4 linked regions of the Medicago truncatula genome follow. The protein of the gene in region 1 binds, or shares a complex with, the protein of each later gene. Links are inferred from orthologs where the notes say so. Each region holds a gene or a part of one and is shown in the gene's direction. Other genes may lie near its edges.

Region 1 (7,742 bases):
CCGGTGAAAGAGTGGTCTTAGGACCAGAGATTGTTCAGCAAACCACTGAGAAAGTTCAGATGATCCGAGAGAAGATGAAAGCGTCGCAGAGTCGACAAAAGAGTTATCATGATAAGCGTAGAAAAGATCTTGAGTTCCAAGAAGGAGACCACGTGTTTTTGAGAGTCACTCCTATGACTGGTGTAGGACGTGCTTTGAAGTCAAAGAAGTTGACCCCGAAGTTCATTGGTCCGTATCAGATTTTGGAAAGAGTTGGAACGGTGGCTTACCGAGTGGGTTTACCGCCGCATCTTTCGAATTTGCACAATGTTTTCCATGTGTCGCAACTTCGGAAGTATGTTCCGGATCCATCTCATGTAATTCAGAGTGACGATGTGCAAGTTAGAGACAACCTTACGGTAGAAACTTTACCGTTAAGGATTGATGATCGTAAAGTGAAGACGTTGAGGGGCAAAGAGATACCTCTCGTGAGAGTCGTTTGGTCGGGAGCGACTGGTGAAAGCTTGACGTGGGAGCTTGAGAGTAAGATGCTGGAGTCGTATCCAGAGTTGTTTACTTGAGGTAAATTTTCGAGGACGAAAATCTTTTAAGTGGGGGAGAGTTGTAACGCCCACTTTCGTTTAATCGTTATTTAATCGAGTTTAGGCAATTATATTATAATTATATAATATATGCATGATTTTGATATGTTTTGATGATATGATGACGATTGGTACCACATGCATATAAGAAGTCTAAGAGCATTGTCACATTGTCATGATTAAGATGCCTTGTTGATGATGATTGATTATGTGATTACGTGATATGTGTTTATTGATTATGTTATGTTATTCCTAATGATTGGATATATGATTAAGTGATAACTGTTTAGCAATTATGCAAAGTTAGAAATAGAATGAATATGATGTTAATTTATGATTCTCAATTACATTGATTAATGTTATTGTATTATGAAATCTCACCCCTTCTGCTTGAAAATGTTGCCCTTCGTATGGGTAACTTGCAGGTGATCGTGCTTAGTGTGCAGTTGCCGTCGTGAGTGGCCTTGCCTTCACTGTGTCGTCTAGGTCGCTCTGATACGTAACGGGATGGGGTTATATGCTATAACATGGTTCATTCTCTTACGTGGATAATATGTTATTTTTATTAAGTTATGGAATATGAACTATTTTGATGGGGCCTACGTGCCAAACTGATTTATGATTTTTGAATTTAATATTCCGCTGCTATGTTAAAGATATTGTGAAGGTTAAATTATTATTTAACTGTTTTTGGATTACGTTTCTATGTGATATCCCGTTTGTGGTTTTTACTCTGATAAATGTTTATGAAATTTGTATATTGGGAAAACGGGGTGTTACAATATAGACTTGTCTTAGTCTAGGTCTTTTGTTTTGGATTATTGATATGATTGGAGATTTACCCGTATGTTGGGATTTGAGATTCATCCATGTTGATGTAATAATTGATTCATGACACGTATATTTGATGTACTCTGGTTTATATTCCGTTGCGATTGTTGAGATTTATATACATGTTTATTGGTTTTGAATTTTTGAATGATGACGTAGCCTCTATTTCTTGTAATTGTATTATTCTCATGTTTAATTGCTTTAATAGAAATATGAGTGTTACAAGCTTTACATAGATCTATAGAGCTACAGATTTCTACGAATTTCTGGCAACCTAGTGGCTACTAGGGGTGTAGTAAACTCAACCATCATGTTAAGTCCCTGAAGACTACCGATCATATTATAATCACATAATCTTAACATGCATCGTTGCTAGGTTAGGTCATCAACATTTTCCACTAAAGTATTATTCTACTGAGCCTTTGGCTTATGACAAGAGTCCTAGTTAGATCTTGACGTTTAAAGCCTTTTCCAAGTTCTAGTACTCATGCAAAGTAGTTTATCTTGATCCCTTAATCTCTCGATGCATAGGGACAAAATCATATCAAACAAACTTGTTCCATTCCAATAACCTCTTGGTTTCAGGGAACTATAACATTAAAAACAAAAGTAATCAAGTCTTGTTTTCAAAGATTTTGAATAAAAACAATTTGTTTGAAAAAAGCACGGAGCTATAGCTTTATAAATCTGAGAGTTGTCTAGTTCGAGTTAGGGCTGGCAATGAACCGAACCAACTCGATTATAGTTCGACATTCGACTCGATATCTAATCCTTTGAACTTGGTTCATGAACCTAACGAGCTGGACTTGAGCTGAAAATTAAGTTCGTTAATTAAATGAGCTGAACTTGAGCTACATATAATTCGACTCGTTAGGTTCATGAGATGGCTCGATTATTGATTATATATATAAATCAATTTGAGTTAGTTTTTAAAATTTTTTAATTCAAATGTGGCAAATGTGGCTGAATACAATTTTGTCTTGAAGGGAAGAGCAGTTGGAGTTTAAAAGTAAAAGAATATTATGAATTTTGTTCACAACTAATTAAATTTTGTTGGATTTTTTTGTCTCTGTTACTTGTATCAGATATTTTTCTTCGTATTTATGCAATCTTTAACTTTATATAATTTATGTCTATTATATGCATGTTTGTGGGAACTTTTATTTGAATTCAATATTTTATATATATATATATATATATATATATATATATATATATATATATATAAAATATCAAAGATCTATAAATTAATTTTTTTTTTTTATAATTTTTTTTGGACTAGTTGAGCAACCGAACTGAACCTAATGAGCCGAACCGAACTGTTCGTGAACTTTAAACGAGCCGAACTCGAGCTGAAAAAATAGTTCGTGTCGAACTCGAACCGAGTTTTGAGCCGAACCAATTCTTATCGAGTCGAGCCGAGCTCAAACAGATTCGGTTCGACTCGACTCATTTCCAGCCCTAGTTCGAGTGGAGTTTCATGGTTTCAAGGTTATTTTTCTGTTGTTATGATTTCATGACATTTTATCGAATCCTTTACCAAAATTGACTAAATTCATTCAAACTACCTAATTTAACTAAAATGACTCCAAGAATAGACTAAAAACGCTTTGTGATTTCTTGCCATCAAGTTAACATTGAAGGATATGGTGCTTTAACACACAAACGATGATTGCAATAGCAACTTCGATAACAACAACAAGAACATCTTTCAACATGATTATTTTCAATTTATAAGACAAGAGATATATATGTTATATGGATACATATTCTAAAGTCCAAGTATCTATTGTATCTCTTTGTCCTTGACATGATATCTCTGTGAAAAGCTCTGAAAGAATCATTTCTTTGTACTTTGAAGATCTTAATAGCTTCCGAGTCAAATAAAATATGGCCACATGATCTTCAATAATTGATCAATTAATGATGTATGCATGAACGAAGTGGACCATGCAGATGATCATTAGGACCCATCGATGTCTTGGAGTGCTCTGCACATATAATGAGTTTTGGTAATAATATGTTAACCAAAATAGTTGCTTGATTTCTTAAAATCTTAATCAACTTGTCTTGTGCTTGATGACCATTTGTCATTACCTTAAAGATAGTTGCACGTCTTTAATTTCTCTTATAATATCATGCATGATCATAGACATAGGTATATGACAAAGTGTTCCTTTATTATTAGTCTTGTTAGTGTCAAAACATAATACAAAGATGTTGTTATTTGAATATAAACGGTTCTATCACATTTTTCTTCCGATAGGATTCTGCTAGATTAGCAAAGTGAGGTTTTTAGAGTGTCAGACGAAACCTCTTTTTCTCTTAGCGAATTGCCAACTTATCCAAGTAGATTTAAACTGCCATAGTTTTATAGGCGACGTACTTCATTTGCGGGGATTTTTTCCCGGGATTCAAGACTTGAGTCTCTAACCGGAAGATTTTCCTTTGATCTTTCTGTTTTGGCCCCTTAACAAAATAAAATATAATCTAACTCTCCAAGTACTGTCCCTTTTGCAGTTTTGATCCCAGTCCAATTTTATCCAAGTCAATGCTGACGTGGACGCCACCGTATGTAATTTTTATTTTTTATTTATTTTTTAAAATATTTTTTATTTAAAAAAATAAAAAAACAATATTTTTTTTAACTTCCAAATTAAACCAAATTTATTTTGAGAATCATTAATACAATTGAAAAAAAAATAATCGAATATTAAAACTTTTAAAAAACCATAATCGATCCAAATAGTTAAATTGATCTGATCCATTAAACCGAACCGAATCACACTAACTGAACCAAATCATTTCAGTTTTTGATTGTTATTAACGATTAGGTTTTTTTTGGTTCAGTTCGGTTCAAAGTTTTGTTTTCACCCAAAATAAAAAAAGGAAAATGTTACATAGACACCCTTTATTTCCATACACCTTTGTACACCTTATATTCTAGGAAGAGAGAAGAGGAGAGGAAAGAGAAAATACCTTTATACACCTTATATTCTAGGAAGAGAGAAGAGGAAAGAGAAAATGTGCTTGTGCGGGGTCCATGTGACCACATGTCAGATTTTTGTGTGGATGTCGAGGGATGTATTGCAACCTATGTCTATGAATCATAACTCATAAAAAAATACAGAAGTATCAAAATCCGACAGTGTAACCAACCAATAAAAATCCAACAAACAGTAGTTACCGTTTTACCACCATCATACACACACACACACACAGTATAACCGAAGTAGATAACAGGATAAGGAACATTTTTGCAAACATTCGCAAAAAGCAAAGCCTTGTGGCTTGTAACAATGGCTTCTTCAGTTACCTCTTCGTTTCAACTAAGGTTCAAACAAACACCCTTAATTTCACTATTTCTCTTTCTCTTTCTCTTCTTTACTCTACTTGTTCAAATCTCATTCTTCATTCTCTTCAATTTGAACCATTTTAATCATATAAATAAGTTTCATTTCAAGTTTTTGTTCAATAATTGTTATATGGTGTTTAATTATTGAATGCAATGAAATAAAAAGTACCCTTTTTCTTAAAACACTTAAAGTTTTAAACTTTGAGAAAACCCAATATTTTTTAACTTTATAACTGTTTCAATTTGTGAATGTGGTTTTATTTTTCTGTATTCTTTCTTCAATTCTCAATTGGGTCAAAAGGGTTATAATTATTTGTCGTGTATGTTAAATTTGGTTGTAATGAATCATGATGATGTAGTTGAGGATGATAGTGTTGTAAATGTTTGACGAAATTCAATTAAATGGATGTTGCATTTAAGATGTTTGATGAAATGCTTGTTAGTAGTATAATTTTGTATTTCAGGAATAAATTACTTTGTATTTGTTTTTCACATAGTTAGTGAGGTGATTGTTAGCTTACAGAAAAGATAATTTCATCGAGTGTACTTTCTTGCTATGAAGCACAAATACTAATCGGATTAGACGTGTCCCGGTGTTGGATACGTATTGTGTCCGACACCAACACGACACCGACACATTATTACGTTGAATTATTTCATTTTCTTAAATTATTATCGATGTCCGTGTCTGAGTCTGTGTTTCATGGCTTTCTTAGTAGTAAAACAGGTAATTCTGGATAAAATTATTGTCGTGATTTTGGCAAAAGCTACATTTTGGAACTTCAACAAAATCATGTTGCGGCTGTGATTTCGTTAAGTTCAATGTGATACCAAACATGCTATATCAAAGAAAAGAACAATTGTTTTGGGAAATTGTTGTTTTGTTTGCTTTATTGGTTTCCTTTGCACAAAGATCTTCATGTGAGGCTTTTATTATGTTATAGTAGGATATTGAACATCATTTATCAAAATTGCATTTTTTAATGTTGACCTAAATCACTACGAACTGGAAAGTGGCTTCTAATTGAAGGATAAGATCTAGTTTACCAGGCCCTGTATCTGTTTTAGTCACTCATGAATTTTGGTTTTCTTAATCATTCTTTTATAATTTCTTAGTTACTTGAAAAATTGTTAGTTTCAAAGTAAATATTTTATAAATTCAAGCAGTCTCTCACTAATCATTTGCTTTCCTATTTCAGCAATTTTAAGTCATCTTTTGTTGGCGAGAGAAGTAGGATCAGAATTTCAAGTGCTCCTGCTACTCATGTTGGGTTCTTTAGAAAGACTACCGAATGTAAGGAATCACGTATTGGGAAACAACCAATTCCCGTTCCATCCAATGTAACCATCAAAATGGAAGGGCAATATTTCCATGCGAAAGGTCCTTTGGGAGAACTTTCATTAACTTATCCTCGAGAAGTTAAGGTTGAGAGGCAAGAAGAAGGGGTTTTAAAGGTCAGTAAGGCAGTTGAAACTAGAAGGGCGAATCAAATGCACGGGCTTTTCAGGTACTTCATTTTACTTAACTTTTTTAATTGTTTCATGATGTAGAAAAATAGATGTTGCCAATGAGGATTCACATTCTCTGCTGTAAAAAATATCAGTCAGGCAGTCAAACAAATCGTTTGAGTACATGTCGGAGATGAATAGTGGGTTTTCAGTCACTACGCTGTGGTTTGGGTTCAGAGTGAAAACATTGAAAAAGTTCAATCCGACTTAGGCTCAAACGGCTAATTTTAACTTGAGAGCATGAATGCAGGATTTCTCTGACTGCAGAGAATCAAAATCCTTGCCAATAATCATAGCATAACGATAGTTGTAAATTTATAACATTTGATTCATTCATTGGTGTTGCCTTTTCGAGTCGTGACAATGAAAACATTCAAGATATATGTTGTAGTTAGTATTTTGACAACAGTTGTATACTTAACACTGGAAGAAGTGATGCAGAATGGATGACCTTGTTAAGTTATTTTAAATTATGATAATTTATGGGTTTTTATGATAATTGTTATTGAGGGAAGTTTAGATGTTGACTCTATCTTTTACTAGACTTCCACCCGTGTTGCCGCACGGGTCATATACATTGGAAAAAATAATATTAAAATGCAATTTATCAACTACTTATGCAACTACATTAGTAGCCGTATTTATGCAATCACCGTACAATTTTTAACATTCTAGGCATATAGACTTTCTCCCCAATGTTGCTTCCTGATATTACCTTTCTTTCAAGAATATATCTACCCAAATTTGTAATTATCAACCGAGTACCATTACATAGGCTTGCAGTAAAGTCCAAATATCAACTCTCAATTTTAATTTGTGATCCGGAAGACTAAAAGAATTGTGTTAAAAAATTTAGACGATGAACATCATCGGCCTATTGACCATTGAGGTGTGAGCAAAGAGAATCGCAGCTTAAAAAATGGTTAATCAAACATAGAAACAACTCCAATGGAGCTACACTTGTATACTAACGTACATTAAAGTAACTTTAAAATACATGACACATACACTATTGCCATACTATATAACTCAAGAGAGGCTAAAAATCTATTTTGGTATGAGCTTTCTTATACTAAAATAAAAGCATCTCATTAGAATTTGTATTTGATTAGGATTATAGATACCACTTTGGCTACCTATGTTTTCCAGATTTGATATTGATTGAAACAAAATGCTGTCTCTGGAATGCCAAGTATTTAATGCTTGGGATTCTAGCGAATTCTTCTTATTGGAATTCTTGCTGCACGTGTTATTTTCCTAGCCTTTTCTACAAGTAGTTATTTTGAAGTTTTTCAGAAGGAGAAAGAAATGGAAGTAACTAATTGTATTGGTAGGTTCCATTGAATTTGACAGGAACCAGATTCAATAGAAACAGAAAACAATATTGTTGATTCCATAAACATGAACAATTAGAGAAGATGACCCCAGCAATCCTAAGAGCTAATCCCGTGAATGATGACACTCTC
Region 2 (7,077 bases), on another chromosome or scaffold:
TGTAAACGGTTACAAGGTTCTCCATATGTTCGATTTAGAGCATCCGTAATAGCAGTAACAAAACAAGAAGCTGAAAATCCGTTAGTCTTCCGGTCATGTGTGCCATTTAACATAAGAACCTTCATTTTTTCAATCAAATTAGTGAAAAACAGAAAATTGAGCGAAAAACTAGATAACTTCAAATGTTTGAGATTTCTAAATATAACCCACCATTACTCAACCAATATAACATATAATCCAGTGTGAAGCTCATGCATAGTAGCGCTCATCAAGTATTTTACATTTATGCAAGAAAGCATTAATCACTCTCTAGTTAATAACAACATGCCTGGCATATCATGAAACATGGGTTTAACATGTTGGAAAATAAATGCACGAGGCTTAGTTATGGAACCACTCCCAGCCATTAAATGGATTGAATTTGAGGTTCAAGTTTAACAATTAAGATGACGAGAAATACCCTAAGGCAGGACCGTGAAGGAATAATCACCCCAATCCCCAACCATACGTAGAAAAGTTTGCAAGTCAGTAAGCATCTAATGGGAGATCAAAAGTGTCATAAAGAGTGAAAGCTAGACGTCCTAATCCAGCAAAGTTACATATTAATCTAGTAAAAGTTGCCTAAGAATACTGGGAAAGTTCAAGTATCAAGTATTTCATATTCAGACACAAGATCTCGATACATTCACAATATTCAAGGCAAATAATGCTGTCAGGTAATTAAAGCCCAACGAATGAATGTGAGAGTCTTAGCAATGAGGGTCAGATTGAAGTAAAAAGGGAGCCCATGCCATACACAATGCAATCTATTCAAAGAAGAGAAAAAGAAGTTTCCGTTATAAATTGAGCATGATTAGGAACACAATACCAAATTCAAAGTTAGATTTCGTCTAGTAAGATAATATTTTCATAATAGATAAAGGTAAAATAGCACCCACCAAAGGAGAGGGAAGCACGTGAAAGAGCTAAAACCATAAGGGCTGAATCTGAAGTACGAATCAAGGTCGAGCGTGTTGCAAAAAGAGATGTTGACGAGGCCAAAGAGGGTTGCAGGCTGCAGCTACTGTAAGTTTGGACCAATAGAAGAATGAAAATAATCTTGAATCCTTCTTTGGCATCGGTGCAAGACCCAACAGTTCTCCAAGGCTTCTTAGGGCTAACTCTATGGCGAGACACTAATGTTAGGCACTGGGAACATCATCTTCAACAGGAAGTGTCGTTTCTACATTTTGTAAAATAAAGAGACAAAGGAAGTATATTTCATGATATTAACCTTTTGTTTTTTTTAATAAGTTTGTATTGAAATAAAATTTTGTTGTTACCTTTCTGACTTGTTTTTTTTTTGTTGGCTTGTATTGTTGTTGTTCATGTGATTCATTTGATGTTTTGAACACACAAAAATCTCACTTAGGCTTTTCTTCTCAACTATAATTTCTCCCACTGTCAATGGAACCATCATGTTAAATCCTCAGAACTATGAAGGAAATTGACTTTCAAAGCTTGAGAGCTTGAAAATGAGAATTCTCAAAAGAAATTATGTTGAAAAGATGCTCAAAAGAAAAACAATGATTTTATTTAGGAAAATGATATTTGGTGCATATTTGGAACTTAACCAACTATCAAAGTAACTAGTATCCTAAAGTACTAACATAATTTTATTCTCTTTAACTATCACTATTCATAACACAACCTCAACATAATTTCATTCTTTTACTTATCACTATTTTTAACAGATGCTCAACATCTTGGCTATAAATTATTTAAGGCTAAAGTGTGTTATTCGTCTCTTTAAATATGACTTGTTTGAGTTTTGGTATCTACAAAAAAATAAAAAACGTTCCAGCAAATTTTTTTGTTTTTTAAAATAGTATCTAGGCCCATTTTCTTGCCGATTTTGCCCATTGCTACTTATTTGGCAGATGCTGACTATGTAAAGTTGACCACGTGTCATCCAGGTGGTAATTATCATTTTAATAAATCATAAAATTGATTTAGAAATTAAAAAACATTTAAAAATCCTTTTAATAAAAATAAATTGATTTTCTAAATTAGAAAAAGAAAGATAATTTTTTCTGCACATAAATATCATAACCCAATCTTCATCCCAAAATTTCAATTCTTAATCCTCAATCTCAAAATCACATCTAAAAAAATAATCTTACACACACAAACAAATCAGACTCATCCCAAGTTCAAAGAACAAGCAACATTGCAACACGAAACAATTGTCAACATTGCAAATGAATCTCAACACTTCATTAACCAAAAAACCTAATCAATCATCAACATTTCGGTGTTGTATATATGTGTGTTTTTTTTTCTTCTTTCTATCAAATATGATTAAAAATTAGTATTTTAATATTTTTGTGTTTTATATAATGTAGCGGTAAAACTCACCGACACTGTTCTGTGAGTTTAACTTAGTTAATAAGCACATTGCATAAATATGTAAGGGTCAGCGTTCAAATCCCGCATACCCCCACTTCTCCGCATTTAAAATATGTAAGGGTCACTACACTAGTTGATAAAAAAAAAAAAACTTACACAGTCCTCGTGAGCTTAACTCAGTCGTAAAAACAATTTATAATATATGCAAGGTTCGAACCCTGGACACCGCAAAAAAAAAAAAAAAAAAAAAAAAAAAACTCAAACTCGTACTCTAGGTGTGGCTTTATTGTAAATTTGAATTCACCACTCAAACATATCAAATGTTTTTGCAACTTTTTTTTTCTATAAAACTTCTTAATTATAATTAAGGGATAGAGCTTCAATTAAATGAAACTTAATATTGAAAATATAACTTTTAAAACTTTTAAAGTATTAAATGCACAATTTCCAAAAAAATATATACTCCCTCCGTCCCTAATTAAAAGACCCTTTTGAGAATTTTTTTGTCCCTTTTTATAAGGCCCCTTTGTTATTTCCAACTACATTAATTATTTCTTTACATACATGCCTCTATTTATTATACATTTTTTTCTTCAATCAACAATAAATAACATGTTGAAAACATAAACTAACCTTCTTTCTTAAAGATAAAATTGTAAAAACAATAGTGATTACAAACAACTTTAATACAAATATCCAGTATCTTAATTCCCATGATTTTAGCAAAAGGGTCTTATATATAGAGACGGAGGGAGTATATATTTGGTTTCTATCATCCCCCTTTTTTTTTTTCTTTGTCCACAATTTAGCTGTGACGAATAACATTATTCAATTAATAGCTGCCTTTTGATTTAGTGGTGACATGTTATTAGACACAAATGTGTAAAGTGGACTGAGTTTAATTAGATTAGAGACAAAAGGGGTCGGTTTATTCTAGATAGATTGGTCATTCCTTTTTATTTTTTCGTTTCTATTTTCAATTGAGATTGGAAACTTAGAGATACAAATAATCACAATAAATCCTTGTTGATGGTTTCAACTACTCGAAGGAGACATGAAACAAAAGGGATTGGTTTGTGATAGGGTTCTAATTTCCTGTTGACTATATATAGGGGGACATATAACCAAATATCACAGTGATCAAAATACCATGACTATAGATCAGAAAGTTGACGACTAAATAATTAATTGAACTTGTGATTGAAGTTAATATTTCAATAGGAAACAAATGAATATTGTTTCATGACAAAAAAATTAAATAATATTGCAAGACGGCGAACAACACAACGTAGCACTCAGACTACGAAAAAATTAGATCAATTTAAAAAATCACTTATTTTAAAAAATAAAGAGAAAAGAAAATGAAAAGATGTGATTTCATATTAAAAATTAACTCAAACCACCTTTCAAATAAAGAAAATGAAAGAGAAAAACATAGAAAAACAAAGAAAATTACGGGCTAATTGGAGAAGGAGAACCTACAGAAAGATATAACAACACACCAATACCTTCAAATTTTGTCTTAGTAAGTACATATTATTCAATCATTTATTGTCATATTTTATTTAATTTTAGTTTGTTTGAAGCAAATTTAATTTTTGAGTTAATTTTACATCTGGTGTTGCTATCCAACAAAAATCTCCGATATTTTTTCATTTTGACAAATTAAGGTAATTAATATTAAGTTAAAAAAATGAAAAAAGAAGGAAAAAGGTAGAAAAGTTCTTCCAAAAAACAAAATAAAAAAAATAAATAATAAGAAACGAAAAAGATGATGAGATGCAAGCCTTGCAAAGGGGTATAGCATAAAGAATATGAATGAAAAAAAAAAAAAAAAAAAACTGGAGATGCAGGGGATCGAACCCTGTACCTCTCGCATGCAAAGCGAGCGCTCTACCATTTGAGCTACATCCCCATCTGTAAAATAATCGTATTAAAATATAATTATTCTTGAAACACTTTCAACAGTACTCACTGGTTTAAAAGCCGAAAACACGTAGCAAAACTCACAAAAAAAGAGGATAATGGCTTCGTTATCATCTTCTGTGTCTCCTTTGATATCCATGAAATTCAGAGCACCCACTTTCACTGCTTCTTCAAAACCATCTTCAATCTCTCTCAATTCCTCCAAATTTCGTTCTCCATTGCTTCATTGCTCATTCACTTCTTCTCCTACTTCTCTCTCTTTCAACTCTTCTTCCATTTCAGGTACAAACTTAATTTCTTAATTTCTTTTGTAATAAACATACCTGTACTGTTAATTTTTCAATTCATGCCTCAAACATTGTTCAATTTTTTTGTTATTGGGTATGCAATTGGTAATTCTTCCAAAAAAAAATGTTTTATTGTTGGGTTTGATTGAACTTGACTATGGTGACTGTTTGGAATGGAAGTTTAATTTTTGGGTTTGAAATGAAATTTTATCTCTGAAGTTTATGCTTCTGCATTTGTAATGGAAAATGGGGTTGTGTTGTAAGTGGATAAGATGTCTTGTAAATGCTAGCCATATTGTTACATTCTTTTTGGATGAAATGCAATAAAAGACACCTCTAGAATTTTAAATGTAATCTAGTAATTTAATGCCCTTGCTTCGTGCTTCACCGCAACTAATTTTTGAATCCGAATTGAATAGAACTAGTTTTGAATGTAGTACTGGTATGTCTCAATTCATTTTTTAAGATGTTGAATGAGTAGAAAAATGATTTTAATTGGGGTGATGAAAATTGTCGCTCTACTCTCTCTAAGGATTGTGGTTTTCTAATACTACTTATTGATATTCATATTACTAATGTTAACATTGCTCTGGCTTTGGAGGAGTTGTTTGATACATTATCATAGGACATTTATTTTTTTGTTGTCTGGTTTTTATTAGAATGATGTTTGTTGCAATTCCATGCTCATCTTGATCTCAGCATGACTTAAAGTTAGGAATTTGGCAAGTCGTTATTAGAGAAAAGATACTCTGCTGTTTACCTGTGTCAGATGGAAATACTTCAAAGACATCCTTTGTAAAGATTTGAAACTTGAGCAATACCTCAAGATAGAAATACCTCGTTAGATTGAATTTTAACCGTCAAGGGTTCCATGTAAATATCAAAGTGTGTTTGGTGAATGGCACAACAGCGACACATGTTACAGCCAAATTTTTTATTTTCTCAAATTATGATCGGTGTCAACGGGTCCGTGTCAGTGCTTTGTTGGAAATTGTATGTGAAAAATAGAGAATACAAAAGAGGTTGTAGTTCTTTTGCAATAATGGATGCTTTGCTTTCAATTGTTTGGTGAATTTGTTCAATCTGCATGTATATAGTTAAAAAATTTGTTTGGATTTAGCTTGTTTTGATTTCTCCATGTCCAGGTTTGTCACTAGGATTGGATTTGAAACCTAATGTTGGACCTAGAAGACAAAATGGTCGTCTGGTTATAGTAGCAGCAGGCAGACAAGCTCTTTGTTTAACCAAGAGAAGTAGATCACGAAAATCATTGGCACGCACTCATGGATTCCGCAAACGAATGAGCACAACAACTGGAAGAGCTGTATTAAAGCGACGACGTGCCAAGGGACGAAAAGTCCTTTGCACCAAGAGCCACCCAAATAGTGGCAAATAGTCACACAAGAGCCTAAAAGTATTATATTTGTGTATTTAGCTCCTTAAACTTGGCCGCATTTCAAGGTTTTTCTTTCTTCTTATTTTCATAACAATGGTTTTATGTACTCCTTTATATTTAAAACTTGTATTATTTTAGGCAAAATCTTTGTTCCAGTATGCTGCAAAAAATATGCAAGAGACTTGATGGAATGACCAACAAAATCAGTTTTGCATGTATAACAATATCTCTTATGTGATTTTTGTTAAATTAAAATGACCGTACGTTATTTAGTTGATTATGTTTTGGTGCAGATATTTATTTATGCACTTGTTTGTTGCAATTGATCTTTCACCAACAGAAGTTTTGTTCAACTTTTTTTACATTAGTGTGTGTTTTAGGCAACAAATTTTATTCCAGTAATTCGATTTATTATTATTAGTTCGTGTATGTTTCATTTATTGTCAAATTGTTAGAGTTACACCTTGTTTTAAATTATATATCATATAAAAACCAGCTTTGTCTTAGCTTTCAAGTTTCAACAAATAATACCAGCTTTACTCATAATACCATAGTCATGATAACTTCTATAGAATGCCTTAAATGGCAATCATGATTGCTATTTGATGAGGTCATGGTAGTAATTGTTGCCACTAAACTTGAAGATGTCCTAAAGAAGTCTATTTTGTACTAAAACCTCAGTTAGTTCTAGTATATAATGGTTGGATAAAATGAACAAGGTATTTGTCTAAAGCTTTCAACTTTGTTCAGATTTTTTATTTTATAGAAAATATCCCACGATGTGCTATCACTCTTCATTGAATCAAATGAATAGATTTAAAAATAATGGAATTTTTTTATCTTTTTATTTTACTGAATCACATGAATTTTTAGTTAAATTTTACCTAACTACGTCTATGAAATAACTATTAAGAAAACAGGAAATTTAATACCTAAATTGGAATTTGCAACAAAAACAAACAAATAGAATCCAACTTATAATATAAATCAAAACAAATCGATAAATTTCACTTAGACTTTGGAGTATTTTTAAGAATCTCAAAACAAAAAAATGAATTCTATTTATACAATTAGTATAGT
Region 3 (7,472 bases), on another chromosome or scaffold:
ATTTAATAATCACAATTCACAGTGCATACTTCACACTATTCGATAAAAATCCATATTCAGTCATTCTCAATCAAGTCTCAATAGTTCAAACATATATAATCATAATAACTAGTCAAATTCTATCAGTAACGCCTTAAGAGATTTAACACGTAGTACTTTTAATAAACATAATTTCATACTAGTTAATACAAATGTGCACTCACACATCTACCACACCATAATTAACCTTTAAATCATAGTTTCACAAGGATCAAATATTAAACAATCTTAACAGCATTTAATTCATGGCAGCCTTCAGGTTCTGGATCATATTGATGTGATCTTAATCAATTATATCTCAAATGGCTAAACTATATGTGGTAAGCACTATATGAATAGTTGAGAATTACAATATTATCATTCATTTCACAATATATTACACTCATGAGTGAAACACTCGCTTACCCCTTACATATAATCTCCCCTCGTTGGCCTATGATACACATAAGAGCAAACACAACACAAAATCAATACTAATTCATGGTTTAAGGGTAATCGATAAGGGTAATCAAAATATTCATTCATCTCAAGTTAATCACATCAATCTGAATCTGATAAGGGAAATCAAGAACATTCTATAAGCTCAAATTATCCACAACAATCCGAATCTGACAAGGGTATTCATTCCTCTTAAATTAACCACATTAATCTTCATCACATTTTCTCATATACAGATTTAAATTAACCACATCAATCTTCATCACATATTCTCATATACAAATTTTTTACTCATCACAAAACACATGCATCACATCATATATACATCACTAGATACGTACAACTCATGTCTATTCAAGAACAAGAATTTCGCAATAAAAAAAAATAGCAATTAGCCAATTATGATCACAATACCTACTCAACAATACCTATTCAACAATAACATCAATGAGTACACATTCCGACATAAAGTAAGTCAAGCAACACCTTAATAAAATTTCTAATTCCTCTTTTAACCTTACTTCCATATTTGCACATTAATTTATTCATCTCTCAAAGGCTACAACCGTCGCAGCGAGCCTCGAATCAGTGGATGATTTCAAGTTGGAAGCCAAAGTTTTGTAAAAGAGTATTGTGGCTTGAGGAAAGAGAAATCGAGGAAAGAGAGAGGGGGCAAGGGTTTGTAAAAGAGTTTCCATTCTGCAACCATTTGGAAGAGAAGACCCGTTCTATTTTTATTTCTTCATTTAATAGCAAGGGGTGCAAATAGACATTCAGACTGAAATTGGTGTGTGGATAGAAATCCAGTTAAGTGAAATTAATGTGTTTTCACATACTGGGCTGTGAATGGTCCCAAAGAAGGAAGACAGATTAGCCCAATCAAGTATCAGAATGCAGCAAATAAAGGGAGGTGTATAAAGTAGTCAGTTTTAAATTAATCTATCTATCAATTCCGATTCTAAAAATATCAATAACTTGTTCCACTCTCCTATAACTAAAATCTTGATCTCTAAAACACTCATACTAAATTACTATGACCTTTCAAAATGCTTAAAATAATAAAATATCAACATTTTATATTACTCCATAAACAAAATAAATATGTATGACTATCACATCATAACAAATACACATAGGAAAAATCATCATAATATTGCTAAATAATTAGGATATCACTATGTATACAATTCGTATTACTAAATGTCATGATAATTATTAGCGCATCCACACAAAAACAATCAAAATAAATAAATAGATAATAACTAGTAATTACAAGATGAAACTATATATAAAAACACATGGATATATGATAATATAATATATAGAAAAATTGGGGTGTTACATCTTGGACATTGGGTACATAATTCCTCCCGTTGCAAAATCTTTTGAGGCCTATTGAATCTTCATTCTTCATCTTCTCAAGACCCAATAATCTTTAGAGGTCTTGATTTGCCTGGTTTGCTTGATTTCTTCGTGAATTACTTCAAGAACCCTATAAAATTGCTATGTTTTAGGAAGAATCAAATTACAGACTCAAATATAAAAAATATTACAAATGTCCCGAAATCATAGACAATTGTTTTAATACTCCTCTGGTTTGCTGGTAAAACCTATTAAAATAGACTGAAAAACATGCTAATTATAACGTAAGATGATCTGTCATCACCTGTCCGTGATGAATTTTACTTGCGGATATTTGATGTGTAAAATCCGCAAGTGCACCGTTTTACTGAAGTAGTAAAAAGAGTATCGTTCTGATAGGGAGTTATGAATTCAATTAACTTTTAACAATGATTAGAAGAAAGTTTGAGATTAAAAAGTTTGGATTTTTAACGGTTGAAAATAATATTAATAAAAAGTGCCTCGGGATTATTGGTTCGTCATGGCGAAAAATCCTTCACAAATCAAACGCTAAACCTAGAATTTTATGTTGGACCTACTTTCTAAAGACAAGTTTCTCTTTAGCCTATCACATCTCCTCTCGATTTCAGTAAGTGTGTTCCTCTTGCAACCACGTCTATTCTCATGATTGATTGCTATTGGAATCCTTGAAGAAGAAAACTTTTTTGTCTCAAGGTTTGCTAGACCATTCTCATGTTTCACAATCCTTGTCTAATTTCACTTGTTACAATATCATAACTTCTTATTACGATGTTTCGCTTTGATATTTGTGATGATGAATTAACAAGTACCAACCCTTCGTTGTCGCATTATGAGTTTGATACTTGTTAATTCATTATAAAAATGGTGAAATTAGATTAGAAAGTAGTTTTACATAAAATTAGGGTTCAATGCTTAGTTTGATTAGGATTAGGTCATTAGATTCATCCAACAATCCCAAGACAAGAAGTCTACTCACTCACGTTCATTGTCGACATAGAGAAGAAGAAGAAGAAGACCATAAAATAAAATAAAGAAAATAAAGATGAATTTTTATTTAAAGAAACAATTGTCACTTATTATTTCCAAGAACTAAAGATGATTATACAAGCTTGATGTCTGCTCTATTTATAGTCTAACAATGACTTAAGCCCTAAGAAATAAATCACTAAAGTGTTGCACAAGAAATGACAAGCTTTAGGTCAAAAATAAACTAATAGGCAGCTTGTCCGGGAAGCCAAAAGAAGCAAAAGGTGACTCTGGGTGCTGGCACGACTGTGTGGCTGGTGACACGGGCCGTGCTAAGCTTCTGAATTGGGGGCTTTTTATTTTTGCACCAAATCTTCATATTTTTAGTCCGAATCAGCTCCGAATCTTCTTTCTTTTGCTCTAAGACTCAATCTTTAGAATATTCGTTCATGAAATTAAATAACTTGCAATTGAAGTAAAATAGTTCTAAAAAAGAAAATAAAAACAAATAAAATTTAAATAAAATAGACTCAAATAATATATTAAAAACGATAATTTATTGAATCATCAATATCATGCATACCAAAGTTTGGTAATCCTTAACTATATGTCTAACTTGGGAATGCAGATAAATACACTAGTATCTAATTAATATTGTCATATTTGTCCCTCCTTATTTTCTACTTATCTTCCAATTTTAAGGAGAAGTAGGGCCAAACACAATTTGTAAAGAAGAAAACCACATAGAAACTGATGACAGTCGGCCATTCACTATTTTTAGAGTCTTTTTTATGATATTTTTGAGTTCACAAGCAAAGATTAAACAACAAGAAAAGCTAGAAAAACTGAAGAAAAACAAGAAAAACTGAAGAAAAGCAAGAAAAATAAGAAAAACTGAACAAAAGCAAGAAAAGCAATAAAACCGAAATGTTGATTTTACGAATTATGGGATCAAAATGAAAATTGATAATTACTTAAGAGACCAAAAATCTAATTAAGCCTAAAAAAAAAGTTTGTCTAATATTTTCAGTTTTTTAGTATTATAAAATTTATGCTTTACTATAATTTTTTTAAAACAACTATGAATTGTAAATGTCCATCTTAAGACTATTTTTGAGAGGTCTCTATTAAACAACCCTAAAAAGTTTTACTAATTAAGTTGGACAAATAACAAATGCCAAACAAATTTAACTTTAACTTAAAAGTTTTAATTTTCAACTTTATTATTAAAGTAGCTTTTAGACCTCAAAAAAATAGAGCCAAACACACCCTTACTTATCGTTATATTAATTTTACAAATATTTATATACTATCATATCAATCCATACATAAAAAGAATTAATGTCATATTTGATAGACTATTTTAACGTAAGAGACTTATTTGACTAACAAATCGTACAATTATACACTATTTTAAAATTTTGATACATTTATAATATAGGCTTATCTATCGCACACTCTCTGGCTGGCTCTACATTATCCCCAGTAAAGATAGAGCACAGAACACAACACAAAGCATCGTGAGAGAATTTATCATCATTCATCAACAGCAACAATGTCCTTGCTGTGTGGTTCACCATCAGTGACGTTCCCTTCATCTTCTTCATTCTCTCATCACAAGAATTCAACTTCTAAATCTTCCTTTCTTTCTTCTCAATTACCACTTTCAAACCTTTCATTATCATCTTCTTCAATTCGTTCTCCATCTTTCATTGTCCATTCTCAGCAGGAAACTTCCATTGTCGCAGAAGAAGAAGATCCTCGTTTCATCTGTGTTGAACCTGAGCCCCGCTTTCAAGGCCCGGTATAACTTCTCTCTCTCTCTTTTTTGTTAATGGGTTTTGTTCATTTTACACACTAAGTGTTGTTGTGTATGATTTTGTTAAAATTTTCTTGTATTAATTTCTGGGTCTCTGTAATCTAGCATATGGAATAGAAAAGCCTCAATTTTTATTGTCAAATTTTAGTGTTTGTCTCAATCCATCATTTTATGGTAATTAAGCCTTATTATCTTCTTTCTGGTTTGTAATTAGCACTTTAGCAGTATTCATTTCTCGTAATTGAAGTAAATTAACATGTAAATCCATCTTAATTTACTTCAATTATGCCTACATTTCGTATCTCATTAGTTTAATTAGCTTGGAAATGTATAGGTTATTACTTCATCCAATTTTTTGGCATGATTGAAAGTTGGAATTGCTTTAAATCTTTACGTCGGTATCCATGTCTTGTATTATTTTTAAAGCTTTTAACTTGGTAGATGCTTTTTTCGAATTAATGTATTTGAAGCGGCTTAACTGAAAAGAGTAATGATTGCAGGACATTTGGAACACAACCTGGTATCCAAAAGCTTCGGATCATGTCAATACAGAGAAAACGTGGTATATTGTTGATGCTACAGATAAAATTCTTGGAAGACTAGCATCAACAATTGCTAATCACATCCGAGGGAAAAATTTAGTGACTTATACACCCAGTGTGGACATGGGTTCATTTGTAATTGTGGTACGTATTTCTGCATTCATTATTTGCAATTGGCATGGAAGTGCTGATTTTTATGGTTTACTACTTCTACGGAATAAGCTTATTTGTTATATAAGTCAAGTTTTAGTTGAACATCTTTCTTGTTAATTTTCTTTTGGTTTTAAAATGGATGGAACTTATGCAATATATGATGGACTGTTTTCTAAGTAGAAGGAGTCAAGTTGAATCATAGGTTAATGGAGTTTCTTGCATTTTAGCCTTAACTTTTTGTGTTAAGTCACCATGAAATGGCGTAGAGGCTCAGTGTCATTTCCCTTCAAATTGTTATCATCATTCTGATAAAAACTGGTATTTTATTTGGAAAAAAGATGGAGATAAGCCCTATTTGGGAAGTTCGAGCACTGTAAAACATACATCAAGGGAATGCGTCTCCTTATACCCAAAGGCCTCAGCACTTATTCAAAATTTCAAATGTCAGGATATCTCAGCCACTTGACCCGTCTTCTTATTTATAACTACAGTTGGAAAAAAAAAGCCTTATTTCTCTAATTATTTCAGTCTTTTTCCTTGTAATATACCTTCTGTTCTACAGTTGTTAACTCCCTTCCCTGTTTTTATAGCTACTCCTCTATTATCCTTTTGGAGAGTTACTGTTATTGAAGAGTCCTTGTAATTCTAATATCTACTTACCGCTCTTCCTCTTCCTAAATACTGTACTCTTAACGAGTGGTTTGCTAACACACATTTAACCCTTTGCTATAATAATGTCACATTGACAAAGAAATTTGGATCACATTTCACATTTTTGTATATTGATTCTCACGCAACATAGTCTGTAGTTAATGTATTGCTTTAATGCATGTCCTGAAAAGTCTTGATGAAGCTGCTATTAATCTTGTTATGTCTGAATGTTTGTCATGTTTTTTCGATCATAATGGGAAGCTGCAAGACATGTTCTTTTTGTTATGTATATCTATTGTTAATGACTTCTCCGCTTTCTACATTCTATAGATTGTAAGGAAGTTTATTTATCATGCATTTGGTTTTAAATTTTAATTATAGGCATGTATGACTAATGATTTGACGACAGATTCCAATTTTCCACAAAAATAAAACTACAATATCAATAGAGGAAACAAAATCTCCTATAAAATGGTTGTATTGTTTATAAAACTTGCTTTTCACATTAATGACTATGTTTATGAGGCTCACCCTTCTCATGAAGTTTTATGCAAGGAGTATTGTCAATAATGTTCTGTTTCACGATTGCTTTATGTAGTCTTGGCCTATTATTTTAACTGGGGTTGTGTAGATAAATGCAGAAAAGGTTGCTGTCAGTGGGAAAAAGAGGACCCAGAAGCTTTATCGGCGGCACTCAGGTCGACCTGGTGGTATGACAGTCGAGACATTTGACCAGCTGCAGAACAGAATTCCTGAAAGAATTATTGAACATGCTGTTCGTGGCATGCTTCCAAAAGGGAGGGTAAGTTCAATAAAGTTCAATGTTTTTCCAAGAGACTTGTACAGTAGACATGTTAAGATGGATCATTGATGCATAGAGAAGTTGAATATAAATCTAAACTATGTGTTTAATTTTTATGACAAAAACATATCACACGTACTAGATTCGTTTCCATAACTGATGGAAGAATATAGAAGTGAAGAATGAAAGGAAATCTTACAGTCTATGCATGCCTGAGAGCACACGTTTTTGGTTTGAAAGGGATCCCTTAGAGAGTACACCTTTTGGTTTGAAAGGGATGCCTGAAAGTAGACTTTGTCTTCACCGGTGTTCCCTTCCTTTCCACTACCAAGCTTGAATCTAGTGGGTTGAATAGTGGTGGTGGGTTGTTCGACCTTCTTAAGACCCATCCATTCACCTTGTTGTCGGCTCCAAACCTTTCGACGTCAACCTTTCTATTTCGATGCCCTCCGTCACATAATGAATAACGGTGCTACTATTTTCGTCCACGACCCAATTATCACAACTTTGAATTTGAAGGTATGAGACGGAACCATATTCCTTCCTCGATAGTTACCTTGCATCTACCACCACCTGATGGTTTCAGACTTTCGGTGGCGGTCAGACTAACATGCAAGAATCCATTTTTTGCATCTTTATTGTGAACCATCTTCTCCGCTGTGCCGATTCATGTCCGGTG
Region 4 (8,249 bases), on another chromosome or scaffold:
GGACCTCTGACACTCTCCACTTTAGTAATTTCACTATTCATGTTATGGTCTTAATTACACCTTGTAAAAGATAAGAGTGGTTTGAAAATAATTTTGATGTACGTTTTTAAATTTTAAAAGGGACAATTTGTCAAAAACAAAATTAATGGGACAAAATTATAGTTCGATATTCTGCCCCATTTATTTAGTGGTAGCAAGTGCGACATGAGACTTTTGAAACGTATTTTGAGTGGATGTGAAAAGGAGTGGCTCAAGTTGAGTTCTCCGATTAAACCAAACAATTGATGAGGCCAAAAAATTAATGGAAGCTTTAGATAGAAAACGAGAGAGGTTCGTAGCAATCGGTCTAAATCAAAGAAGATTGTGAAAAAATGACATTTGTTACTCCCTTGTGGGCTGTGGCTTTGCCATCATAATTAATGGATATTTTCATTCAAAACAGTTGGAAACATGCACTTAAATTGTAAAATTGACACTCACACACTGTCTCAAAATAATTGATTTTTTTTCAAATAAAAATTGTTTAAAAATAACTCACATCTTCAATTTTCCATTAAAATTCTTGTTAATTCCTAACATGCCTAACCTCGACTAGCACAAAAGTCCACATAGACCAACGCTAGACTAATACATTAACGTCAAAATTTCAACTAACTAATTCCTTAAAAAAAAAATTCAACTAACTACCAACTTTCATTAACATAATTTATTACAGCACTTAAACACCTCTATGATGTCTCTGTGTATGATTCAACATATGTTGGGTCACAAACTAACGAAGATACTTTAAAATTAAATTAAAAGAGATTTAAAAATAAATAGAAATGATATTTGAACAACTAAATTGTACAACCAACAATTTATTTGCTATGTTTAATAATATTTTATCTGATTTCGATTTCTATACTCCTTGCTAGAGCTGTCAAAACGGGCGGCCCGGCCCTAAACGGGCCAACCCTAGCGGGCTTCGGGCTTTAGCGGACCGGGCCAAAAAGCCCGATTGATAAAACGGGCTTGAAATATACTACCCGAGCCCGGCCCTACACGGGCCGGCCCGTATTAAAAATTATATTTTTTTTATTTTAAAAAATATTATAAAACACTACTATAATTTTTTTATAAATAATATTTTTAATATGTTTAAATAATGTCTAGCACAAAAGTAAATTGTAAACATTTTCGTACAAACATCGTAAACTAAAACGACGAGAAAAATGATTTTAAATAAATTAGATATGTTATGGTTATAGATATTTATATATTCGATCTTTAAAACTATAAATAACGAAATGAATAAATATAATTTTATATTACATTTATATTTGTGTTAATTCATTGAATTTTCACTTTTGTTTTATACTTTGATAATCAACTAAGTAAATAATTATTTGAAATATATATATAATTTATAGAATTTTTTTTTGTTATGCGGGCTAACGGGCTACCCCCGGCCCATTCGGGCTAGCCCTAACGGGTACCGGGCTTTTAAGGGCCGGGCTAAAAAGCCCTATTAAAATTCGGGCTCAATATTTTAGGCCGAAGCCCTATATTTATTCGGGCTAAACGGGCTCGCCCGTTTTGACAGCTCTACTCCTTGCAAAGTTAATGGTTGTCCAATTTTAAATGTACAAATAACATAGCTCAAAAATAAAGAGGATGTCGAGAGTGTTTCTCAAGGATATTAGTTAAGCAATTTAAATAAAGATAAATTTTTATTAAAAAAAATGACATAACTATTACTTGAACAAATAGGACAACTTATATTTGAAAAAAAAATTCTATTAATGAATTTCTTTATAAATATTCATGAGACAGTGGTTAGGAAGACCTTGAAAATAAAATTAAATGAAACAAAAAAAAACATTGTCTTAGAAATAACTTAAAATGGATATTGTTTTAAAAACATTTAACGAACCAGATGTCCGGAGAAACAAAAAAAAAACACGCGAACGAATTCCAACTACAAAGGGATTTTCCATTCAGCTTCATGTACAAGCCATAACTTGAGTTCCTCACATAATAGTTTGGGGAGCTGTTTCAGCATTGATTGAAACTCATTCATTGTTAAGTCCCAAAGTGATCCTCCCAAAACGAGACCGCATGGTCGTGGCATGAGAGCAAATGACCCACGAGAATGATAGCCAAAGCAGCCCATAACAAGGAAGAATGAGAAGCAGGAAAACAACCAGATGGGTCAGTGGCACATAAGAACGGGTACCGAGGCAAACAACTAATGGGATAAAACCGCAAGTGCACAGTTCTATCGAAGTAGTAAAAATAAAGTATCGTTCCGACATAGAGTTATGAATTCAATTAACTTTAAATAATGATTAGATGAGAGTTTGAGATTAAAGTTTGAATTTTTAATTAAAAGGAAAGAATAAAAATAAAAAAAAGTCTTGGGATTATTGGTTCATCATAATAACGAATCCTTCACAAACCAAAACCTTAAACCTAGAACTTTATGTTAGACCTAACTTCTAAAGAGTGCCCTCAAATGACAACAATTGTCCCTAAAAGGATCATGGTCGTCCTTCCAAAACAGCTGACCAGGCAGAGGTACAAAGGCTTAAACATTAATCTTCTATTATAAATATTGGATTTTAAACTTGTGATCGTATGTTCGCTATTCACAAAATACACCTTGAAGTAAGACCTTTTTTTTTTAAATTAAATCATGTACTTAAAAAGTAATTCTTAAGTTGAAACTTGAAAATGTTAAGTTAAAAAGAGACTTCAGAAAGTTCTAAAGTGTTACTGTAAAAACAATATATTAAATGTAAATGATTGTGTGTGTGTGTGTGTTGTGTTTACCGTAAGTAAATGGTATAGGAAAGAGAAGAAAGACACGCATAATTTACATTGGTTCATCTAATGGGGGCTAATTCACTCCTCACAATCTTCTGAGATTTTCACTATGATGCTTGAGATAACTTTTTAACTCCTGCATCGTACAACCTTGTTCCCTTGGAACAATTACAACATGTATTCTCTAAGCCTCATCATGCTTACGACTTTCTTTGCTAAGTCATGCAAGACTTTACAACTTTATACTCAGCCTACACTTTAATACTCTTAGAGCTAGATGAGATTTTTCTCTTACAAATGATTTGGAAGTTTGAATGGAGTTGAACAATAGGAAGAAGAAGAGAGGAATAATATCATCTTTAAGAAGATAAGATAAGATTGATTCATACTCTCTGAGATTTTAGGAATCTTTATAGTTGATTTGTGAAATCAATTTTGCTATGAAGCTTTAAACACTTTTTTTTTTTGTAGATAGACGAAATGACAAAGCCATTATAAACTCACACACACAAGTGGAGGTATCGGGGTTCGAACCCCGGTCATGGCATCCGACCTAACAATTTCGTCATTTTGCCAGTTGAGCTAGGACTTATGGATAACTTTAAACACTTTGATTAAGTTGTTTAAGTATGTTTGAAAGTTGTGTGCTTCAATGCAGAGTCTTCTTATCTTTTTACAGAGTTTCTTGACCTCTTGTAGTTGTTAGGGCGTGTGCAATGGTCTTGTGCCACATATCCTCGGACTTAGCAACTATTGCTTGAAGTCTTGATCAACATTATGAACTTCAAAATATTTTTGGGTTCATCATAATACTTAAAAACGTTGTTGTGTTCTTCGGAATATTGTTGTGTTCATCAGGATATTGTTCCTAAGTTCATAAGGATGAATGTCATATGTGTTTTTGGGTTCATCCTATGAATGTCAGATGAATTTAAGGGATTTTCCATGAGTATCGTTCTTCATACATAATTCAAAATAATGTTGAACAAAAGCCTTTGCAAATCTGCCTTAGAACTTGTGCAGGAGAGAGGAAAGTGGAATTGTCACTTCATGCCCATGCTTTAGGGGATTTTCTGATCCTTGTGCAGTACCAAACCCCATGCATGTCTAATTCTCATTGAGTCGCACTTGAGTTTGCTTTTTGTTTTTGCTTTTACTTTTTACCAATTGTACTTGTCCGTCAGATTGAAAGTATGTGCTGGAAATGAACTTTCTGATGTTCATTTGTTTCACTTAGGATGATTTGTAAGACTCTCATTTGATGTAATCAAATTCTAATAGTGAAACATCAATGAAGTGCAGGTATGTGAAACATCAACGAAGTCCACTTAAGTTGCTCTGGTGGTGTTGGTTTGGGTTCTTGGAGTGTGTTTCTCCGCAATGTCTCATGTTTGATTCTCTTCATTGTCAATTTGAGTGGGCTAGTTTAACTTCTTTAAAAAAAAATATACACTGCTTTCGTTCCCCGAAAAAGAAGGCCGAGAGTGACGGAGAAGAAACCAACAATTGAGGAAGTACCATACTCAAAGGTCATTAAACACCATCAACCTGACTTAAATTTCTAATACTCGCTATATTTTTTTTAGTGAAATACATGTGGATTCCAACAATTCATATAACTCATTCCATAAGATTAAATCTACGTATATTCCTCTAAAAAAGAAAGTGAATGTTGGATATCTATAAAAAGCGTTGTTATATCTAAAAAAACGTCTATAACATATTATTATTTAAGTAACTTTGGTTATACATAAATACTTTGAATTCGTAAATGTTTTCAATCCAATATTTCTGTTAACCAAACATTAAAAAAAAAAAATGTTTTCAATCCAGTATCTAAAAAAACTTTTTTTTTATACAAACCAATTCTCTGAATCTAATTTATAAAGAAAGAAAAAATGAATAAAAAATAAAATAAAATAAAAGAGGAGTTGTGCTCATAAAGGATGAAGTAAGATAGGGTGTGGATCTTATCTGCAACTACAACACATACTGCACACAGTTGCTGTTCATCAGATAAAACATACGAGCGCGGAAACACAATGTTGAACCTCTCCGTTGCTTCACCATCTTCTTCTTCAACACTTTCTTTTCTTCCAAAACCATTACATTTCAAATCCTCCTTCAATGGCATTCGTCTACGTCAACCAAACACGTGCACAATCCCAGCGACGAAACGCACCGCTTCGGTCTCAGTTGTGATGATGGCAAAGAGAGAAGAAGAATTGAAGCAAATTAGAACTAAAACCACCGAACAAATCAATGAAGAGGTTGTTGAACTTAAGGGAGAGTTGTTCATGCTTCGTCTTCAGAAATCTGCTCGTAATGAGTTTAAGTCCAGTGATTTTCGTAGCATGCGTAAGACGGTATATTTTCTTACTCTTTAGATTATTTATTCAATTTTATAGAAATTTTAATATACTTTGTTCACATTTGCTTAATTAAATTTTTAGGATAGAGTTGCTTTTGATTATAAGCCAATCTAAATACATTAATAGTGTTAGGTAAATGGGAGTTTTTGAAATTAGGAATAAACGGGGTGCCAGTAGGAAAAATCTATTGAAATTTGTCATTTTAACTTCAATTGAATATTATCAATGTGTTGGAATTGTCATTGTTTTATGGTTATGTTAGAGAAACAACTAGCTTCTTATTGCCTGGATCAGTGCAAGAGATTTATGTTTAGGGCGTCAATAACCAAATACACAAAGCCAAAGACTCACTAGTCACTAAGGTGGGGAATAGTGAAATTATCAAGCCTATGACTTACATATTACACACAATAATCAAAATTGTTAAGGGGACAATGAAATATTGCTCCGTTAGAATGGAAATGGAGTGAAAGGAAAGGAAAGAAGCCTATGTCTACATCCCATTTGCATTATTTTTGGTGCCCATTATACCAAACTTAGGGTAAAATTTGAAGGCATCAGGATTTTTATCTCGTGCAACAATGAAACAAACATTGAAAGGAAAGGCCAAGGGCTTCAACTTCGTTAACTTCGTTGTAGTTCGAGCAACGTAGCTCGTGTAATTATCATAGTTGTCACTCATGTATTGCGGCACAGAGCAATTGGTCCCGAAAACACCGTACCTGAAATATGGAGAGTCCCGAAAATACCATACCTGAAAAAGTGGAGTGGTGTGGTGGCCGTTGTAAGATGGCTTGGAGGAGAAGTCATTCTCCTTGTTTCTGTTCAATTTCAATCAACCAATATGATGGCTTGTGGACTCTTGTTTCTTAGATTCACACAGATTAAATCCATCGCCGGATAGAGTTTAGATCTTTGAGGAGAGAGAGCCCACTTAGTACCATTTGTTAACAAGTGCTAATAGCTAACATAGCTTGGGGTATTCATATCTAGTATAATCTAATCCGATGTAAACGGAAATAACTGAACTGAAAACCGGAAACCAAAGAACCCCTAAACAGAGGACAATAAAACTGCCAAAGAAGAAAGAAAAGTGTAAAGGTCAAGTTTTGGACATGATGCACTGCAGTCTAGCATACTTAACCTTTCTTCATAAACTAGCCTACAATATCTTTTACTTTAGTTGTTTGGACATGATGTAACGTGACTATGCTCACATAACGAATGTCTTTGCAAGTTGCAGCCTATTCTTACACTCAGTTGTATTATAATTTTGATTCAATTAAGCTGCAGCAGATTAATATCTCTGCCTTTATTCTTTGTTTCAGTCCTCTTCATTACATTGCTTTTTTAACAATCAAAATCACGATTTACTCAAAAAAACCTTATTTTATCATGTCTATTTTCACTCCACAATAAAATTCAATTGCTGTGGCCCTTTTTATTTTCATATACGTTATTAACCTTTTCCACTCATGCAACTTATATTCTGTATCAGAACTGAAATTTAAATTGGTAGAAGTAGATTTGACTTTCGAGATCATCGAAAAATCCAAAAGAAAACTCTAACCCAGATATCAGGAGACAAGTGTAAGGATATACCGAAACTGAAAAAAATATCTTAGAAAAGCATCTCTGCCCTTTGTTATTAATCACCCCTCAAATGCTCAAGTTATTTGCTATTCCTCCACACATCTATCCTTCCCACATTAATGTTCGTCTCCATTGGTTCCTGCATCTCCCATTGCCCTCTCCTATTGCCACATGCTCTGTTTGTTAGGATCCAGCATAATAGATTAATCTCCTTCAGTAGTGACAGACGAAGTTCACAGTCCTATTTCAGTTTGCTTTACTATCCGCGCTCCTTTTCCACTTTCGGCAACGTGGGAGGCTCATGACGGGCCCATCATCATTTTATCAGAGTTCATGTCCCACCAAGAAAAATTGAATCGAGGAGAATGGGCACTAAGGATTCAGTAGGCAAAGAAGCAGTGCATTAGCTAGGATTTAGAATGTTTAGATTCCATGGTAAAGGCAAGATATGCACACCATAGAAAAAGGGGAGAGAACAATATTCCCCGGGGCACTCTTTAAGGATCCCAAATTTAGTAATTATTCTTTTAAAAAAGTCAACCATTACAATTTCCAATGCATTGAATACACAACTTTTCATAAACTTACTATTTAAACTTAACATTTTCCTTTATTTTTTGGTTTTAATATTGGCTTAATAGCAGTTTCAGCCCCCTAAGAAAAAAAACTACAAAACCGCCCCCTAAGTTTTGCATCTGTGGCAGTTTTGGCCCCCAAGGCCAATTTTGACTCGGTCTACGCTGACGTGGCACCCTAAGTTAGGGGGCGGTTTTGTAGTTTTTTTTCTTAGGGGGCCAAAATCGTAAATTTGTGAAAGTTAGGGGGCGAAAACTGCTATTAAGCCTTTTAATATTACCCTAATAATAATAACTTCAGATGATCCTATAAAAGCTTTGCCAACAAGCGGTATCCTTCTTTTGGATGAATAATTACTGTTATTATTGATGTAGATTGCTCGCTTGCTTACTGTAAAGCGGGAAAGAGAGATTGAGGAGGGTATTGGTAAGAGGTTGTCCAGAAAGCTTGATAAAAAATGGAAGAAAAGCATTGTTGTAAAACCACCTCCATCTTTAGTGAAGCTACGCGAGGAGGAAGCAGCTGCAGAAGCCGCTGAAGCTGAAAAGGCTGCATGAGCTGATGTATTAAATATGCAAGTTATAGAGTTACATTGTTAAAATTGTTGTTAGTCATTGTTTTTAATATTTTGGTGGATGTCGTCATCTCGTTGTATTAATATATTATTTGTAGTAACCTATGGTTCTTCCTGTCATAAGGTTTTTTATGTCGTGTATTCTGTAACCGTAAGAATAGAGACATGGTTATCAAAATTGCAATTCACTGCCTTCAAATTAGGTATTCATTTTTTATTTTGTTTTATAAGAATTTTAAATTCATTAAAAATTTGTTTTAAAATATTTCATATTAATATTTTTTGGTGTACAAAACATAGATGTTTGTGAATCAGGTTATTTACAA

Evidence for each region.
Region 2: 50S ribosomal protein L6, chloroplastic (region 1) and 50S ribosomal protein L34, chloroplastic share a complex: the UniProt entries of both Arabidopsis thaliana proteins name them as parts of the 50S ribosomal subunit. The link is inferred for Medicago truncatula from reciprocal best matches to the Arabidopsis thaliana genes emb2394 and AT1G29070.
Region 3: 50S ribosomal protein L6, chloroplastic (region 1) and 50S ribosomal protein L13, chloroplastic share a complex: the UniProt entries of both Arabidopsis thaliana proteins name them as parts of the 50S ribosomal subunit. The link is inferred for Medicago truncatula from reciprocal best matches to the Arabidopsis thaliana genes emb2394 and emb1473.
Region 4: 50S ribosomal protein L6, chloroplastic (region 1) and 50S ribosomal protein L29, chloroplastic share a complex: the UniProt entries of both Arabidopsis thaliana proteins name them as parts of the 50S ribosomal subunit. The link is inferred for Medicago truncatula from reciprocal best matches to the Arabidopsis thaliana genes emb2394 and AT5G65220.

What each region holds. Positions count from the first base shown.
Region 1 is NC_053047.1:21,810,335-21,818,076, forward strand, and holds the start of 50S ribosomal protein L6, chloroplastic, read left to right. Parts: upstream 1-4,581; 5' UTR 4,582-4,711; coding exon 4,712-4,746; intron 4,747-5,966; coding exon 5,967-6,275; intron 6,276-7,742. UniProt on the Arabidopsis thaliana protein: This protein binds directly to 23S ribosomal RNA and is located at the aminoacyl-tRNA binding site of the peptidyltransferase center.
Region 2 is NC_053043.1:4,727,837-4,734,913, forward strand, and holds 50S ribosomal protein L34, chloroplastic, read left to right. Parts: upstream 1-4,374; 5' UTR 4,375-4,412; coding exon 4,413-4,596; intron 4,597-5,746; coding exon 5,747-5,997; 3' UTR 5,998-6,277; downstream 6,278-7,077. UniProt on the Arabidopsis thaliana protein: This protein binds directly to 23S ribosomal RNA.
Region 3 is NC_053049.1:23,131,488-23,138,959, forward strand, and holds the start of 50S ribosomal protein L13, chloroplastic, read left to right. Parts: upstream 1-4,270; 5' UTR 4,271-4,381; coding exon 4,382-4,630; intron 4,631-5,145; coding exon 5,146-5,331; intron 5,332-6,622; coding exon 6,623-6,793; intron 6,794-7,472.
Region 4 is NC_053049.1:41,913,609-41,921,857, reverse strand, and holds 50S ribosomal protein L29, chloroplastic, read left to right. Parts: upstream 1-4,753; 5' UTR 4,754-4,850; coding exon 4,851-5,174; intron 5,175-7,723; coding exon 7,724-7,906; 3' UTR 7,907-8,140; downstream 8,141-8,249.